Oryctolagus cuniculus: one gene and its partners. The main gene of each other region encodes a partner of the protein of the gene in region 2 in a complex. Links are inferred from orthologs where the notes say so. Each region holds a gene or a part of one and is shown on either strand. Other genes may lie near its edges.

Region 1 (5,795 bases), about 2.4 Mb from region 2:
CAGATGGCTGCAATGGCCAGAGCTGGGCTGATCTGAAGCCAGGAGCCAGGAGCTTCTTCCGGGTCTCCCATGCAGGTACAGGGGCCCAAGGACTTAGGCCATCCTCCACTGCCTTCCCAGGCTGTAACAAAGAGCTGGATTGGAAGTGGAGCAGCCAGGTCTCAAACCGGCGCCCATATGGGATGCTGGCACAGCAGGGGCTAGGGCATTTACCCACTGCGCCACAGTGCCGGCCCCAGTTCTATGATTAAAACGATACCCATACAAGGGATTTCATAAAGCTCATGGAAAAAAACGGAATTAAAAGTTCATTTTGGCCGGCGCCGCAGGCTAATCCTCCGCCTAGCGGCACCAGCACACCAGGTTCTAGTCCCGGTCGGGGCACCAGATTCTGTCCCGGTTGCCCCTCTTCCAGGCCAGCTCTCTGCTACGGCCCGGGAGTGCAGTGGAGGATGGCCCAGGTGCTTGGGCCCTGCACCCCATGGGAGACCAGGAGAAGCACCTGGCTCCTGCCTTTGGATCAGCACAGTGCGCCGGCAGCGGTGGCCATTGGAGGATTGGAGGGTGAACCAACGGCAAAAGGAAGACCTTTCTCTCTGTCTCTCTCACTGTCCACTCTGCCTGTCAAAAAAAAAAAAAAAATAGTTCATTTTAGGGCTGCCGTTATGGCGTAGTGGGTAAAGCCGCCACCTGCGGTGCTGGCATCCCATATGGGTCCAAGTTCATGTCCTGGCTGCTCCACTTCTGATCCAGCTCCCTGCTAATGGCCTGGGAAAGCAGCAGAGGATGACCCAAGTGCTTGGGCCCCTGTACCCACGTGGGAGTCCAGGAAGAAGTTCCTGGCTCAGACCGGCTTAGAAGACTAAACTGAAAAGTCTCATTGGGCCTGCGCTGTGGCGCTGTGGGTTAAAGCCCTGGTCTGAAGTGCTGGCATCCCATATGGGCGCCAGTTCTAGTCCCAGCTGCTCCTCTTCCAATCCAGCTCTCTGGTATGGCCTGGGATAGCAGTAGAAGATGGCCCAAGTCCTTGGGCCCCTGCACCCGTGTGGGAGACCCAGAAGAAGCTCCTGGCTCCTGGCTTCAAATTGGCACAGCTCCAGCGGCCATCTGGGGAGTGAACCATCAGATGGAAGGCCTCTCTCTCTCTCTGGTTCTACCTCTCTCTGTAACTCTTTCAAGTAAATAAAATAAATCTTAAAAAAAAAAAAAAAAAAAAAAAAAAAGTCCCGTTACTACCTAAGGCAGAAGCATCTGCCAGCAGTCTTTCCAAACCGAGAGACTCCCTCCTGGGAAACCCTAAAATAAGTCAGCGTGGCCACAGCACGGGGAGAGGCGAGAGGGACCAGCGGCCCGGGCTCAGCGACCATTCTGAGTGATCGGCTCATCCCAGCACTGCCCTGGCCGCAGGGACAAGGACTCACGGTCGGGCTTCGTGAGCGCCTCTTCTTGCCGGTGATCTGTGGCTTGGGGACAGACGTCTGCGGCTCCAGCACCTTCCCCTTCGGTGAGCAAGGACTGATGGAGTTGGTCATCTTCCCCACCTGGAACCCAGAGGACAGCAGGTGGCGGTGTGCGCGGGGCGGGGACATGCTCCTGGACTGTTCATCTCCGGGAGCGCAGAACCCCAGCACCCCGGGGGCATGGCCAAAGCTGGCATTTGAAAAGCAGCAGCCCCCGCTCAGGCATCCTTCTCACTGCCCCTCTCCCTAGTCCTGGAGCTTCCTGAGCTCGCCTCAGGGAAGCTCCATCTTCCTGCAGCTGCGGTGGGATTTCAGCTCCAGGGCCCAGGAGTCAGGCCAGGGAGGCACCCTGGGGACCGGCTGTCTCACTGGGGGGGTCAGCCACTTTCTCAAGGTCACACAGCAAGTTCACTCCTGATGGAGCCAACTCTAGGACCAGGGTCTGCAGCCAGCTGGGTGATGGCGTTCTCCTCTCTCCCCCTTCCCATTTCTCCTGGGTCTGTTGCTGGCCCCAGGCCACACAGCTGGAGAAGGGAGGCCCTGCCAGCCATCAGCCCTGGTGCTGAAAATGTCACAGCAGTGCTGTCCCCAGCAGTCCCCCTTTCCCTGTCCCCCCTGGTGCTGGGCAGGGTGGTGGAGCCGCCAGGCGCAGTATGCTCACCTCCGTGAGCCGGGCTCAGCCTGGGCCGCCCTGCCTGTTGGTCTCCAGCCTCCATGTCTTGAGTCCCGTTGGTTTCCTCAGGGCTGGGTTTCTTAGAGCCAGATTTCCTGCGGCTGGCCTTCGTGTCCTGGACTTTCTTCCTGCAGGCTGGTTCCCCTGCAGCCTCTGGGGGCTCTGAGGCCTGGGGGAAGCCCTCCTTCCCTCTTGGCCTCCTGCTGGCCTTTTCTTTGGGCTCCTCGGACGCCCTCAGCAGGAAGCTCAGGAGTGTCTTTAACCATCTCGGCTGGGCCCACCACCTCGGGGCCTTGTCTCTCTTGGCGTCTTGTGGGGGCCTCTGCTCTCCCATGTCTTCCGGAGGCAGGGCTGCTGACCCCACAGACAGAGCCGGGCTCTCAGGACCCCTGGCGCCATCGCTGGCCGTCCGGCGGAGCGCCCTCCTGGGCGAGGCGGCCAGGGAGAGGTTCCCTGATGTGCAGCCCCTCGGCGGGGCCTTCGGCCTGTCCAGAGACCGGGTTCTCCTGGCTGCCGGGGGCTTCCTCGGGCCCCTCTGGTTCTCCATGGGCTGCAACAAAAGCAAAGAGCCGCTTCAGGAGAGGCCCACTGGACACGGGCGTGGGGCCCTCCCGGAAGGGGGTGTCCCCGTCCCCGCTCTCGGTGGGGGAGATGGGACCACGGGGAGACAGTGCCCCCATCTCACAGAGACTTGGCAGCCCCTCCTGGGATGCCAGCAGGACGCCAGCCCCGGCCACGCCTGGGTTCAGTCCTCAGACACTGATGCGGACTGGGGCCCCCAGAACTGCACGGTGCCTCTTTCCTGTTGCTCTGAGGCGCCGAGTGTGTGCGATTCTGTGCCCGCGCAGCCTCGGGAAACAGACCCCTTCCCCGCCCTGGGGAGCTCTGGCACCTCTGCGGGCTCACGTCCTCATCGGAAACGTGCCCCACCCCTGTCCTGTGCGTCTCCCGGGCTGCCGGGGGCATTTTACGGCTGGGCTCGGGCCACGCCAGCTCTGCACCTGCAACTGAAAACCTGCCATCTGCCCTGACTCTGTTCTCTCCCTTCCACGGCTGAGCCAGCCGTAGGGCTTCCCGCCTCACTCCAATGCCCGTCTCCAGCTGTGCTCACCTGGGCGATCACACTGGCTCCTGCGGGGTCTCCCTCCTCTCCTCTTGCCCTCCTCCCAGGAGCCCCTCCCTCCAGCAGCCCCAGGGGCTCCCTCCCTTCTGGGAGCTCCTGCACTGGCCATGGCCCCCTGGGCCATCACCTCCCCCTCCCCTCTCCCTTAGCCACCCCACCATGCCTGCTTGCTGTCGCTCAGTCCCGCTCCACCTCCTGGCCTTTCTTCTGGCCAGTCCCTCTTTCTAGAACGTTCTTCTCTCAGAAGCCAAGGATATGTTCAATTGTCTCCTGCTCCTGGAGGCCCTCCCTGGCCACTGCCTCTGAGCGCTCCCTCTGCCCGCCCCCCACCTGCCGCGGTGCGAGATGGGGCACTGAAGCCCCCCTGCCTTTGGTCCGTTCTGCCAGGTCTTGCATCCTCAGCGCCCACAACAACGTCCCCGGCAGACTCCTTGCTCCATGAACAGGTACATGTGTAACGCTGAAGCGTTCAGTAACCCGTGCGACCCACTGTGCGTCCGGGCTGGGCCCATGTGAGAGGCCCTTCTGCTCCCCACGAGGAGCCAAGCGGCTTCCAGGGGAACCGGGGAGAGAACCGCCTGTTCCGGCGGCGTCTCCTGCAGGCCTGGGTGTGGGCGGCGCCCTGGGGTGCGTGTCTTTTGTCCCCCAGGCTGCTCAGAAACCTTTGCTCCTTAATGGGCCATAAAAGAAAAACAGGATGTGGGTTAGAATCCCTAACCTGTGCTCCCAGGCAGCCGTGCAGTTAGGCCAGGGGGTCATCTACGCTGATTCCCCACTGTGGTTTTTCCTGTGTTGATGAAGGTGATTTAGTGGTAGGGGCCGTAAATGTTTTTACGTCATATCCCCTGCCTGTGCGAGGTGATTCATCTACTCTGAAATGTACCCCCTTGTTATGTCCAGCACAGAGGTGTGAAGCGGGCTTCCCATATGAACCCTGGCTTGAATCCTGGCCGTACCACTTCCCATCCAGCTCTCTGCTCATGTACCTGGGGAGGCAGCAGAAGGTGGCCCAACTGCTTGGACCACTGCTACCCTCAGGGAGACCTGGAGGATGCTCCTGGCTTCTGGCAGATGGAAGACCTCTCTCTATATATTTCTGCCTTTCAAATAAATAAATATTTTTTTAGAAAAGCTGCCATCACTATGGAGATGGTTTGCAGCATGGCTGATGGCCGCAGTGTCCCCTGCCCCATTCCAGGAACACCTGTGCCTCCTAATCCGAGCATCATGCAGCTGCACCAGAAAATGCTCTTCCTTCTTTGTGTTTTTTCCAGAAAACGGACTGATTTGCCCACCGCCTCCCTCGAAGAACCCAGATCCTCGGCCCAGAGGAAGGCGAAGGCCATTGCAGCTCCATTGCTCACCCTGAAGGTGCCCTGTCCGATTCCCCTTCCTGCTGTGACCAGCGCAGCCCAGCTCCGCCCACCTCTCTGAATGCCCCACCCCCTAGCTGCCCTCATGGAAGCCAGGAGAAGCACCGGTTTCCATAGCAACACCTCCCCGTGCACACAAGCCACAGCGACGTCTTCCTAGGCTTTCTGAACGACCATTTCCAGAATTCATCAAAGCAAGGCTTTCCTTTCCTTTCCTTGTTGTCTGTCTGTGCCTCACGGGGACTCCCTCCTGTTGGAAACAGTCCCCCACCACCACCTGGGCTGATACACCTAGGCAGCAGCACAGCCTCACTGCCTGGGCTCCCAGCTGCTCTCGGGAAATTGTGGATGGCCTTGACAGAGAGTGGTTTTCAGAGCAAAGTCCACACTGGCTCAGAAACACCCCAGGGACTTCTGATAAGACAGGGCAAGTCCCATCAGCAGTCAGCAGAGAGAAAGCTGACCCCGAGCAGGAAGCCGGCCTGTTTTCCTTGTCACGCAGCTGTTTGGTTTGCTTCTGAATTGCACGTTGACCTCATCCCTGTACTGGTTTCTAATGGGTGCACCTGGCTGGGTTCCCCTCTCTGACCTCACAGAGATCCTTCACCGCGCCCCTCCCAGCCCTGTCCCTCATTCAGTAAATATAACAGCCGGCTGGCTACACACCCACCAGCTGCGCCAAGGGACCGTGCGTGTGGCACTCATGTGTGGACCCACAGCCCACACCCAGCCGTGTGTGCACAGTCTCAGAAACCCAGGGCTGGGGCCGGCATTGTGGTGCAGCAGGTAAAGCCACTGCCTGCAAAGCCACTGCCTGCAAAGTCGGCATCCCATACAGGTGCCGGTTTGTGTCCTGGCTGCTCCACTTCCCATCCAGCTCCCTGCTAATGGCCTGGGAAAGCAGTGGAAGATGGCCCAAGTGCTTGGGGCCCTGCACCCACGAGGGAGACCTGGAAGAAGCTCCTGGCTTCCTCCTGGTCCAACCCCAGCCATTGTAGCCATCTGGGGAGTGAACCAACAGAAGGAAAACTCTCTCTCTCTCTCTCTCTTACACACACACACACACACACACACATCTCCATCATTCTTTCAAAAAAAAAATCTTAAAAAGGAAAGAAGCCCAGAGTTTCTCCCCCAAATCAATGGGTGACCGCCACCACCTTGCT
Region 2 (6,462 bases):
TCCTCCCCAGGCACAACATTCGCTCTCTGTCCTGCAGACCTGCCTGGCTGATAAGCGCCCCAGCTTCCTGATTTCTTCTCCCACAGGGAAGCGGGGATGGTAGAACCACCCCTTCCTCTGACCTCACAGCCTTCTTGCTGGCACCCAGCCCGCCCAGGCTCCGCCCTGCCCACGCCAAGCGCCTAGCCTGGCTCACAGCTCCTGCCTTCTGCACCCGTGGGCCTTGGGTACAAAGATGTCACCTTCATCCAGAGGAGCTGCACCCAGGCAGCACAGTGCACCCCTGTGTCCGGCTTGGCCCTGTCCACCTCTGCCCACTCCACCCTCGGGATGGCCCCCATGGCTGGGGGGTGGGGGCAGGAGACCCTTACCAGAAGTGGAGGGCTCGGGAGGCTCTCCACAGCCTTCGCCAGGAGGACCTGGGCCTTGCCCGGATGCCATCTTGTTCAGGCCTCAGTGGAGGACACGGTCAGCCTGTGGGGATGGGGAGAAAAAGCAGAGATGGGCACGGGCAGGGGCCTGACCAGGCAGCCCAGAGAGGGCCTCCCGAGCAGGCTGGAGGGCACCCATTCCCATGGAGACCCCCAGTCTTCTGGGCTTTCTTTCTCTTTCTCTTTTTTTCTTTCAATTTAAGGCAGAGAGATTAATCTTCCACCCACCGGTTCAGTCTCCAAGCAGCCAGGTCTGGGCCAGGATGAAGCCAGGAGCCAGGGGCTCCATCTGGGTCTCTCAAGTGGGTGCAGGGCCCCAAGCACTTGGAGCATCAGCCACTGCTTTCCCAGGCACATTAGCAGGGAGCCGGAGCAGAAGTAGAGCAGGGCCAGCACTGTGGCGTAGCGGGTAAAGCCGCCGCCTGCAGTGCGGCATCCCATATGAGCATCGGTTCGTGTCCCGGCTGCTCCACTTCCAATCCAGCTCTTTGCTGTGGTCTGGGAAAGCAGAAGATGGCCCAAGTCCTTGAGCCCCTGCACTCATGTGGGAGACCCGGAGGGAGCTCCTGGCTTCGGATCGGACGGCTCTGGACGTTGCGGCCAACTGGGGAATGAACCAGCAGATGGAGGACCCCTCTCTCTTTCTCTGTCTCTCCTTCTCTCTCTGTGTAATTCTGACTTTCAAATAAATAAGTAAATCTTAACAAAAATTAATACAGAAAGAGAAACACAGACAGAGCTCTCCTACCTGCTGGTTCACTCCCCAAATGTCCATGGTAGTCAGGGCCGGGCCGGGCCAGCCAGGAACTCCATCCTAGCCTTCCACATGGGTGGGAGCCCCCTGGGTGCTTGAGCCATCCCCTGCTGCCCCCCAGGGTGCACATTAGCGGGCTGGGATGGGAAGCAGAGCCAGCACCCAGACCCAGGCACTGGCGGTGTGGGCGTCCCAGGCAGCGCTTCCCTGCCGCCGAACACCGTCCCCGGCACTTCTCTTCCCACCACCTCGGGTCCCGGTGGAGTCTACGCGGGGAATGGGCACTCCTGGAGCAATCACTGGCAACCCTGCAAGGGAGCTGGGGTCGCCAAGGGGAGGCAGCTGGGGACACACTCAGGGATCCGTACACATGGTCTGCGACCAGCTGCCGGGGCCTCTGGGAGGGCGTGGCCACAGCTGTGCCACTGCACATGTTAGCTTCAGAGCAGCCCAGGGCCTGCGGCACCCACAGCACACGCCTACTGCAGCCTGCCGCCCCGGCCAATCACCCACGAAGGCCTTACTTCCCCTTAGCAGGCCAGAACACAGCTGTTCCCCAGCTCAGGCCTGTTAGCTGTCTCCCGAGAGCCTATGGTGTACTCTGCCACCTTGGAGCACTGCCCAGGCCTTGAGTGTTGAAAACACACATTGACTCAGTGAGGTAAGCACCACCGTACCCATTTTACAGATGGGAAAGGTGAGGCATGCAGAGATTAGCGCCTGAGGCCAGGAGGCTAATCAGCCAGGCTGACTGGCTGTGTGAATGTTCAGGGGTCCATGAACTCAAAACTGATCTAAGAGTCATACTCTGTCAGCCGGCCTTTCTCCCCATCTACTCCCTGCCTGCTGGCCCCAGGCCGCATACACAGACTGCACAGCTTGTACCCAACGCTCACGTTGTGTACCCCAGGCCACACCGCACACCCTGGCCCCACACCTGGAACCCTGGCCTCACACCTCGTACCCAGGCCCCAGGCCTCATACCCCGGCCCCACACCTCACACCCAGACCCAAGCCTCATACTCTGGCCCCACACCTCATACCCAGGCCCCAGGACTCCTACCCCAGCCCCATGCCTCCTACCCAGGCTCAGGCCTCATACCCCAGTCCCACGCCTTATACCCCGGCCCCACCACGCCTTGTACCCAGGCCCCACACCTCGTACCCTGGCCTCACACCGTGTACCCCAGCCCACGCCTCTAACCTGGCCTCACACCTGCTCTCCTGTCCCGGCTCGGTTTCCCTCTTCGCCCCGTCCCGGCCGCAGCGCCGATCTGCCGGTGCCCTGGGCAGAGGGAGTGTTTCCTGGATGTCAGTTGTTTCACTTTCACTTTGCACCCCTTGCGGAGCCCAGTTTCCCCAAAGTTGCCTCCATCAGCAGGAAGGAAGCGCCCCCTCCTTGGCCTGCAGAGGGTGCAGCCGAGCCCGGACCCCACCCCTCCTGAGCCTGGGAACACCCCCCACCTTCTTTTCAAGCTCTCCAGGGGCTCTCTGAGAAGGGGTGGGGGCCACCTGTGTGTCTCTGCACCCCACCCTCACCTTCTTAGGGGGTGGGATAGGCTACGGCAGCCAGACTCATTAAAATAGACCTTGGCCTGGCACACCCCCTCCCCAAGCAGCTCCTTCCCCCTGCTCCCCAGGTCCCAGCACCCCCAAGACAGCACGGCCAGAGGATGCTGACCGCACCCCCAGCCCCTCCAGCACCTCCCCAGGGGCTCACTGCTAGTAAGCAGGCAGAGCCTCAGAACAGCCCCCACCAGCCCAGGCAAGTGGCCTCACCTCACCTAAGGGGACACCATCCCCAGCACCCCCAATCTGCTGGGCCTGGGATGGATGTCCCCAGGGAGATCGGCCTGGCTGGCCGGAGTGGGGTGGGGGTGGGGGAGCATGGAAAACCGAAAGTTCTCTCCCTGCCCTTGACCTAGGCTCTGACCCCCACTTCCATCCCCTGGATGGCTAAACGCCCCAGTTCTTGGTCATCCTGGGGCCAGGGCCAGAAGGGAAGCTGGGGGGTGGGGGGAGACCAAGCTAGAGGGAGCCCCAGCAAAAGCAGTCCCCTGCAGGAGTCGGAGGAACTGCCAGGCAAACCTTAAGGCCTTCCCCCACCCCCCACTCCCCAGCACCCTCCTGGAGGGCTCTCTGCCCCACCCTGGAGCCGGGGCTGCTGGATTAGGGAGCGTGGAGGGGCTCTCCCAGCTTACCTGCCCACACTCAGGCCGAGGCCATGGGTCCTCTCGAGGCCAGGCGGGTCCCAGCTTCCAGGAACAGGCGTCAGTGTTCCGGGCGGCCGGATGCAGCCTCTGCTGGTCCCGGCACGGCCCGAGGGACCCTCACGGCTCGGACGATCATAGAGGTGCTGGCTGCTCCCGGCCGCAATCAGCTCCCTCTAGAGGAAGTCGCTGGGCGGTCGCCGGATGCCGAGGCACAGGCCTGGAGCCCAGAGCGGGAAGGCCGGGGCTGGCTGAGCCCAGGGGCGGCGCGGGCGAGCGGGAGAGGCGGCAGCTCTCCTTCACCCTCCCCGACTGCCAACCCACCTCGACCTTGATCTTTCTCACTTCCTTCCATGCGTACCGATAAAGACACAGGGTGCCCAAGTTTCTTAAGCTCCAACTGCTGCAGGCCATGCACTTTAGCAACCTTGGTCTTGTGGATCCAGTCAACCAGGACCTTCTCAACAGCCCCTGGAAGTAGGTGCCATGGACTACACCCATTTTACAGATGAGCAAATCAAGCCCCAGCTGGTTTACAGAATCACTGAGCTGATTGATAATCACATCCGTAGGTGGAGAGTGATAATACTGAATTGAGATTCCACCTGTAATTCAGATCGACGCGCCAGGCACCTCGGTGGTGTCTGGAGATTGGAAATCCTGAAGTCGGCAGGCAGAGCAGCACAGATCAGAGGCCCAGCATTATGGCTGCAGCAGGCTAAGCTGTCATCTGCAATATTGGCATCCCACACGGAAGCACGGGTTTGAGTCCCGGCTGCTCCACTTCCCATCCAGCTCCCTGCTAATGTGCCGGGGGGGGGGGGGGATGCAACAAAAGATGGCCCAAGTGCTTGGGCCCCTGCACCCACGTGGGAGACCTGGCCTTGGCCTGGCCCAGCCCTGGCTGTTGCAGTGGTTGGGGGAGAGAACCAGCGGATGGAAGCTCTCTCTCTGAGTCTCCCTCTCACTCTGTAGCTTTGCCTTTTAAATAAATCAACACATCTTTAAAAGCAACAACATCCACAAACTCCATGGTGGGGACAGGCATTTGGCCCAGTGAAGAAGCTGCTGCTCAGGACGCCTGCATCCTGTATCCGAGTGCCAGGGTTCAAGCCCCAGCTCCACTTCCTATAGCAGTTTCCTGCTAGTGTGCACCCTGGAGGCACCGGGTGAGGGCTGCCATCCATGTGGGAGATCTGGATGGAGCTCCAGGCTCCTTCATTCAGCCTGGCCCAGCCCTACCTGTTGTGGGCATTTGGGGAGTGAACCAGCAGGTGCAAGATGTCTCTCTCTGTCTGGCTGCCTTTCAGATAAGATAAAAATTGTTAAATCCTCAGTGAGTGGGGACAGGGGAGGGAGGGCAGGTGCTGTCTGGCTGCGGGAATGTTCCGCAGGACAGAAGGAGGCAGGGTCCCCGCAGCCCCTGGTCTCAGTCCTGGTCCCTCTCGGCCGCCTCCCGGGACTCCTGCAGCCCCGAGAAGCAGCAGCCCGCCAGGCCTCTGCCTTTAACTCCTCCCCACCCCCACCCCATCTGCTCTGTGCCTTCTGGAACTTCCGGAAGTTTCCAACTGGAGGTTTAATTTGAAAACTCCTGTTCTTCAGCAGTTGGTCCTGGGGTGGCTACCTTGACCCTCGCTCTGAGAGGCTCCGCTCTCAGGATGGAGGCCCCAGCTCCGACCCCTCGCCCGCGGATTTTGGGCCACTCTTCCATGTTCTGCTTTTTCCATAGTTTGGCTAGGAGCAGGGACAGCCGGAAGAGCCCTGGCCAGGCGCTGGTACCGCAGCTCGGGGTCAGCTCCCTGATGCTTGGCTGCCAGGGAGGCGGAAGGAGGGAGGTGGGGCCACCTGCCACCCTGCAGGGCAGCCCATCTGTGGCCACACCCAAGGGCGCCACCCATCTGCCTTGGCTGGATCCCTTGGGGCTGGACATGGGCGACATGCGGGTCCACACCCCCGACCCCAAGGAGGTCCTGAGGGTCCCGGCCCAGGCCGTGAAGGTAAAGGCAGTGCTGCCCACCGGAAGCCAGGAAGTGCTAGGCAACCCGTCTGAGGAAGGGAGGGAAAAGGAGCAGCCAGCCTCCAGGGACAGGTGAGGGGCTGTGGAGCCCCAGGCGGGGCAGTGGCCTGGGGCTGGGGGCAGCATCTGGGCCTGGGATGGGGGCACCCAGGCTGAGAAGCGTCAGAAAGCAAGTTCCCAGCTGGATAAGGAGCTCAGTGGGGCGCCTGAATGGGCGGGGGCAGGGATAAGGGGACAGGGACAGGGAGGAGCCATCAGGGGTTGGGGGGCAGTGGGGCTGGGGGCAGGGACAGGGTCCTCCTGCAAGTGTAAGCTGTCTTCGTCCCGGAGGGAGCACTAGACACCGGAGGGGAACGAGCCAGGGCAGGCGGGGTGCCCAGCGCCCCCAGCCCCTCTGCCAGGCCCTGTCCTTGGCGCTCTCTCTCCCCCAGCACCCCACTTGCTCCCTGGCACCCCTCTCTCTGCTCTCTGCCTTCTGCAGCCTGCTCTGGGAAGGCACAGCACGGGGCTGAGGGGAGAGGTGGTGGCAGGGCGCATGCGCAGGGGTGGGGTGGTCTCCGGACCCCTCCTGCTTCCCCTCCCTGACTGTGCTGTGGGATTAGGGGCTACTTGGCCTGGGCTCTGGAGGTAGAGCAAGACCACCTGCAGAGGGCCCTGGGGCCAGTGGAGGACACCACGGAGGCCGTCACCAGCGACGACGAGGAGATGGAACATCTGCTCGAGGGTGAGTGCGGGGGCCAGAGGGCCGGGCGGGCGCCAGGCACGTGGGGCGGACCCTGTTCCTCCAGGGCTTCTGAGGGTGCAGGGCCTGGTGGGATATGGGACACAGCCCCAGCTCCAGCACGCCCCCCCCCCCCCAGGGATGTGACAGCGGCTCCTTGCGTCCTCACGGCGGTGAGAGTGTCGCACCTGTCCTGTCCGGCAGGGTAGTTGCAAGGATTGACTGAGGTGCTGTGCCCCTGCCGGTGACCTTCTACCCTATCCACAGGAGACCCCAGCTTGGCCTCTTCCAAGGCGGGGCTGACCCCCTGGAACCACCTCCTCAGTTTG
Region 3 (5,795 bases), about 2.5 Mb from region 2:
CAAATAAACACATCTTAAAAACAACAGAACAACAACAACAATAATAATAGGGGCCATTGCTGTGGCACAGCAGGTAAAGCTTCCACCTGCAGTGCCGGCATCCCATGGGAGTGCTGGTTCAAGTCCTGGCTGCTCCACTTCCAATCCAGCTCCCTGGTAAATGTGCTTGGGAAAGCAGTGGAGCCTGGCCCAGGTGCTTGAAGACCAGATGGAGTTCTAGGCTCAGGCTTCTGCCTGACCCAGCCCTGCTAGTTGCCATCATTTGGAGAGTGAGCCAGTGGTTGGAGGATCTCTCTGTCTCTGTCTCTCCCTCTCTCTCTATAACTTTGTCTTCCAAATAATAAATCTTTTTTTAAAAAATGCCCCAAATAGGCAAATGAATAGAGACAGAAAGAAAATTGGTGGGGAGGACACAGGCTCACTGAGGACAGCGTGGAGGCAGTGATGGGGATTAACAAGAATCCTCACCGGCCGTGAAGTTAAGGGAAGAAGCTGGGTTCTGAGGCACAGCCAGCCCTCCACCATGGGCCGCCATGCAATGGTTCCTCCTCTGTTGCCCACTGCAGGTTGTTCTAGAGGAAAACTAGGCTAGCTGTGGGTGTCATCACCCCCAAGATTTCAAACAGTAGCCTTTTAGTCTTTCCTAATTCCCTTATCATCTCTAACCATAATCAGAAGTCCCTGGGGGCGGGACTCGAGCCACAGCCTTCGGGTTGGTTTAAGGAGGGGAAGCCAGAGCTAAGGCACAGCTTCTGCTCCAACTGCACATTAGATTCACCCCGGGGAGCTAGGAAAATGCCAATTACATCAGAATGTCCCAGAGGTGGGCCCAGGCATCTCTAGTAGCTAAAACTCCATAGGTAATTCTAATCCTACTGTGAGAGGGTGCATCAGTTTCTCCCTAATTGATGTGCACACGGATCCCCTGGGCCATGTGCAAAAAGGCCCATTCTGGCTTGTGACTTCCTGGTGGTGTGGGCAGGATTTTGAGCATCTAACCAGGTCCCTGGGGATGCTGCTGCTGCCAGTCCACGAATCACAGCGAGGGTAGCAAGGATGACAGCAAACGCTGGCCTTGACACAGGCTCACGATTTTTAGATCTGCTGATTGTGTGTGGCATTGTTGGTCCCAGAGCTCTGACCACTCCTGGGCACCTTGGCCACGGGGCAGCAATTGCTTGCTGTCTTTGCTCTTTCCTCCCACCTGACAGGCCCTTGCTGGGAAAAAGGAAGTCTCACCTCTTGAACCATCCTGTGATTGATGCTGTCCCCAATGAGTCTCAATTGTATGGCCAACTTCTGAATTATCTCTTCCTGGTGATGGTTCTGGCCGATGCTATTCTCTTTGGGCTGAGAAGGGGGGTTGTGATCTGCATTGACAGGAAAGAGTTTGAAAGAGAAAACTCTATTAACCATGGGTAAAATGATTCACCACTAGTTACTGAAAACTACATCAGACAATGAGAGAGATGAAACCCAATCAAGAAAATAATTATCAAAAGGCAAAACCTGGGAGCATGGTAGTTAAAACCCCATTTGGGACACACGCATCCCATATTAGAGTGCCTGGGTTCAGTCCTGCTTTCTGCTAATACACACCCTACGAGGCAGCAGGTGATGGTTCAAAAAGTCAGGACGCTGCCACTCATATGATGGGAGACCTGGACTGAGTCCCTGGCTCCCAGTCTCAGCATGGCCCAGCCCTGGCTGTTGTGAGCATTTCGGGAGTGAACCGCAGATAGAAGTTCACTTGCTCTCTCTCTCTTCCTGTCAAATAAAATAATCTTTTTAGAAATTAAAACTATTTATTTATTTATTTTTAAAGATTTACTTACTTATTTTTTTATTTATTTGACAGATAGAGTTAGACAGTGAGAGAGACAGAGAGAAAGGTCTTCCTTCCGTTGGTTCACCCCCCAAATGGCCGCTACAGCCGGCACTGCACTGATCCGAAGCCAGGAGCCAGGAGCCTGGTGCTTCCTCCTGGTCTCCCATGCGGGCACAGGGGCCCAAACAACTGGGCCATCCTCCATTGCCTTCCTGGGCTACAGCAGAGAGCTGCACTGGAAGAGGAGCAACCGGGACTAGAACCCGGTGTCCATATGGGATGCCAGCGCCACAGGCAGAGGATTAACCAAGTGAGCCACAGCGCCAGCCCCACTTACTTATTTTTGAAAGAGTTACGGAGAGGAGACAGAGAGATCTTCTATCCACTGGTTGGCTCCCCAGATAGCCACAACAGCCAGCACTGGGCCAGGCTGAAGTTAGGAGTCAGAAGCTTCATCTGGGTCTCCCACATGGACCCAAGGCAAGGACCCACACACTAGGAATGTCCTCTGCTGCTTTTCAGAAGGCCATTAGTAGGGAGCAGGATCAGAAGTGGATCAGCCTGGGGCCGGCGCTGTGGCGTAGCAGGTAAAGCTGCTGCCTGCAGCGCTGGCATTCCATATGGGTGCCAGTTCAAGTCCTGGCTGCTCCACTTCCAATCCAGCTCTCTGCTATGGCCTGAGAAAGCAGTAGAGGATGGCCCAAGTCCTTGGGCCCCTGCACCCGTGAGGAAGACTTGGAAGAAGCTCCTGACTCCTGGCTTCGGATTGGTGCAGCTCTGGTCATTAGTGGCCCACTGGGGAGTGAACCAGCAGGTGGAAGACCTCTCTCTCTCTCTCTCTCTCTGCCTCTCCTCTCTCTGTGTATCTCTAACTTTCAAATTAATTAATTAATTAATTAATTTAAAAAGAAATGGATCAGCTAGGACACGAACCCGGCACCCGTATGGGATGCTGGTGTTGGCAGCTTTACCTGCTGTGCCCCAGGACCTTTTATTTTTTAAGGCCTGCCCTCAAAGCGATGGGCATTTGGTGCAGTGGTTACAACACTGCTTGGAATGCTCACATCCCACATCGCAGTGCCTGTGTTAGAGTCCCAGCTCCACTTCCAATTCCAGCTTCCTGTTAATGCACACTGGGAAGCAGCAGATGGCGGCTCAAGTGCTTGGGTCCCTGCCACCAGTGTGGGAGGCCTCGACTGAGTTCTCAACTGTTGGCTTCAATCTGGTCCAACGAGAGCTATTGCATGCATGTGGGAAGTGAACCAGGTGACAGGAGATTCTTTCTCTCTCTCTCTCTCCCTCCCTCCCTCCCTCCCTTTTTCTCTGCCTTTCTAATATATTGAAAATTTTAAAAAAAATCAAAGAGCCCAGGGTAAGAAAGAAAAATACACAACTTATGATTTACTAGGTTAGAGCAAGAGTGAGGTTTGCACAGAGGGGCCAGGAAGATGTCCCAAAGGAGCTGACAGCTGAGCTGAGTCCTGAAGTTTGAAGGATGGCCAGGAATTATCCAGGAGGGGCCAGCGCTGGGGCTTGGCAGGTGAAGCCATGGCCTACAATGCCAGTATCCCACTTGGGCATCGGTTTGTGTCCCAGCTGTTCCACTTCTGATCAAGCTCTCGGCTATGGCCTGAGAAAGCAGTAGAGGATGGCCCAAGTCCTTGGGTCCCTGCACCCACGTGGGAGACCTGGAAGAAGCTCCTGGCTCCTGGCTTCAGATCAGCTCATCTCTGGCTGTTGCAGTCATTTGGGGAGTGAACCAGCAGATGGAAGACCTCTCTCTCTCTCTCTCTCTGGTTCTACCTCTCTCTGTAACTCTGCCTTTCAAATAAATAAAATAAATAATAAATCTTTTTTTAAAAAATTAAGCGCCTGAGGTAGGCACTTGGCCTACAGCATATGGCCTGGATTCAGCATCCAACTCCAGCTTCCAGTTAATGTGGACGCTGGGAGGCAACAATGATGGCTCAAGTAATTGGGTCCCTGCCACTCATGTTGGAGACCTGGACTGAGTTCCTGGCTCCACGCGGTAGCCCTGGATACACACTTTTTTAAAATATTGAGCCTTTACACTGAAGTTGGATCTACATTAAAAAAAAAAAAAAAGTAAGTAAACTTCCTGATAATGGGAGGTTGTGTCTGGGGTTCTGTCCATTTACTTCATAAAAGTTAACGTAAAATGGGTTGAGAGCTCTGCTATGGCCCACCTGCATATGGCATTACTTGCTAGCTGAAGAGAGCTGGTGCCCCTGCCCTGTGACATTCGCACACCAAGACAGCGACACCATCATATTACAACATTGTAGCCAGAGAATATTCAGGTCATATATTGGAGGCAAGTGAGAGTCTTCTGACAAGATCATCAGACTGAAGGAAATAAGGGTCAAAATTGGCATTATTTTTGAAGAGTTGGATTTTGAATGTCCAGAGGACAAAAGTATCCCACCTAATACAATAAGGACTACTGAAAAGTTATGTGACTATATAAGCACACATGGTTCTGAAAATAAAACCTGAATCTAAATGGCCTCGTAAGAAATTTGGACAGAAGTCTCGTGTGTAATCTCTACTTAATTCCTTTGTAAGGCAGATCATCCTCCCAGTGTTGGAGCCTTCCGCCACGGCTGTGTGGCGAGGGCCCTGCAGGGGCACCAGTGCCAGCTGTCCTGGTTGCCTTCAGGGAAGTTCCTAAGCAAACCTGCTCCAAATCGGTGTGCAAGTGTCTTCCACAGCCACTTATAATGTAAATATTATATTGTCTCCTGTGCTGGTCCTCCTGCATACTCCCGATTTCATTCACTGAAAATGGGAGTTGGGTGACTTCTGGCTCAAGATTGGCTTCTCCTCCCTGAATCCCCTCCAAGACATCACCAAAATGGAGTAGAAAAAAGAAAGCCAAAACACTGAACAGGATGGGAGTCCCAGCCAACAGCAGATGAGTGGGCTGTACACGTTTCTGGAGGCAGGAAGCAGGGATAAGATGTGGACAAGTGAATCAGGCAGAGAAAAGTCCAAGGACCCATCTCAGGGGCTCCTGAGGCTTAGAAGCCTGTCTATCCCACGGAGACTGGGAGGCTGCGAGGGGGAGAGAGATGTGCCCCTTACAGGAGGGCTGATGCGGGAACAAGAGCCCCGCCTGGCACCCTTGGCACCCCCAGCCCAGTGTACTCAGCACAGATCGCAGGCACAAAAGCCCCAGAAGAGTCAGTCTTCTGCTAGCACTTAAGATTCCAGCTGAGATGGCCACATCCCCTGTCAGAGTGTCTGGGTTCCAGGCCCCACCTAAGCTACTGGCTCCAACCGCTTGCTGATGCGAACCCTGGGAAGCAGCATGTGATGGCTCAAGGAGTAGGATTCTCAAGTAGTTGGAGACCTGGCTTGAATACCTGGCTACACGGCTTCAGCTCAGCTCAGTTCCAGCCATTGCAGATATTTCAGGAGTCAATGGTAGGCAGGTAGATGGAAGCTCTTTCTGTCTCTCTACAACTCAAATTAAAAAACAAACAAGGAGGGGCCAGCACTGTGGCTCACTTGGTTAATCCTCCACCTGCAGCGCCGGCATCCCATATGGGCACCAGGTTCTAGTCCTGGTTGCTCCTCTTCCAGTCCAGCTCTCTGCTGTGGTCCGGGAGGGCAGTGGATGGCCCAAGAGCTTGTGCCCCTACACCCGCATGGGAGACCAGGAGGAAGCACCTGGCTCCTGGCTTCGGATCGGCGCAGCGTCGGCTGTAGCAGCCATTTGGGAGGTGAACCAACGGAAGGAAGACCTTTTTCTCTGTCTCTGTCTCTCTCTCTCACTGTCTAACTCCGCCTGTCAAAAAAACAAAACAAACAAAAAAACAGGGGGCTGGTGCTGTGGTTTAGCCCATAAAACCATAGCCTGCAGTGCCGGCACCCCTTATGGATTCAATTCCTAGCTGCTTCACTTCCAATCCAGCTCTCTGTTGTGGCCTTGGGCCCCTGCACC

What was found.
Region 1: the proteins of BAK1 (region 2) and BNIP5 are in contact, whole or in part, in a crystal structure (PDB 8IGC), measured with the Homo sapiens proteins. The link is inferred for Oryctolagus cuniculus from reciprocal best matches to the Homo sapiens genes BAK1 and BNIP5. Residues at the interface, in NP_001179.1 of Homo sapiens: Leu78, Ile81, Gly82, Ile85, Tyr89, Glu92, Phe93, Met96, His99, Leu100, Tyr110, Lys113, Ile114, Ser117, Leu118, Ser121, Asn124, Trp125, Gly126, Arg127, Val129, Ala130, Phe134, Ala180, Leu183; in NP_001010903.3 of Homo sapiens: Ile246, Ile247, Gln248, Met249, Ile250, Val251, Leu253, Leu254, Lys255, Arg256, Val257, Gly258, Asp259, Gln260, Trp261, Glu262, Glu264, Gln265, Ser266.
Region 3: the proteins of BAK1 (region 2) and PXT1 are in contact, whole or in part, in a crystal structure (PDB 8GSV), measured with the Homo sapiens proteins. The link is inferred for Oryctolagus cuniculus from reciprocal best matches to the Homo sapiens genes BAK1 and PXT1. Residues at the interface, in NP_001179.1 of Homo sapiens: Ile81, Gly82, Asp84, Ile85, Asn86, Arg88, Tyr89, Glu92, Phe93, Met96, Leu97, His99, Leu100, Tyr110, Lys113, Ile114, Ser117, Leu118, Glu120, Ser121, Asn124, Trp125, Gly126, Arg127, Val129, Ala130, Phe134, Asn182; in NP_694535.2 of Homo sapiens: Ile78, Ile79, His80, Lys81, Leu82, Ala83, Met84, Gln85, Leu86, Arg87, His88, Ile89, Gly90, Asp91, Asn92, Ile93, Asp94, Arg96, Met97.

Annotation. Positions count from the first base shown.
Region 1 is NC_091436.1:133,166,434-133,172,228, reverse strand, and holds part of BNIP5 (protein BNIP5), read right to left. Parts: intron 4,840-5,795; exon of another isoform or gene 4,531-4,839; intron 3,703-4,530; exon of another isoform or gene 3,445-3,702; intron 2,684-3,444; 5' UTR 2,681-2,683; coding exon 2,122-2,680; intron 1,542-2,121; coding exon 1,422-1,541; intron 1-1,421.
Region 2 is NC_091436.1:135,609,308-135,615,769, reverse strand, and holds the start of BAK1 (bcl-2 homologous antagonist/killer), read right to left. Parts: upstream 3,611-6,462; 5' UTR 3,387-3,610; intron 2,491-3,386; 5' UTR 2,402-2,490; exon of another isoform or gene 2,390-2,401; intron 475-2,389; 5' UTR 442-474; coding exon 372-441; intron 1-371. Other genes in the region: gametogenetin-binding protein 1, read left to right, coding at 5,054-5,484, 6,015-6,136, 6,401-6,462. UniProt on the Homo sapiens protein: Plays a role in the mitochondrial apoptotic process. Upon arrival of cell death signals, promotes mitochondrial outer membrane (MOM) permeabilization by oligomerizing to form pores within the MOM.
Region 3 is NC_091436.1:133,116,979-133,122,773, reverse strand, and holds part of PXT1 (peroxisomal testis-specific protein 1), read right to left. Parts: intron 1,371-5,795; coding exon 1,240-1,370; intron 1-1,239.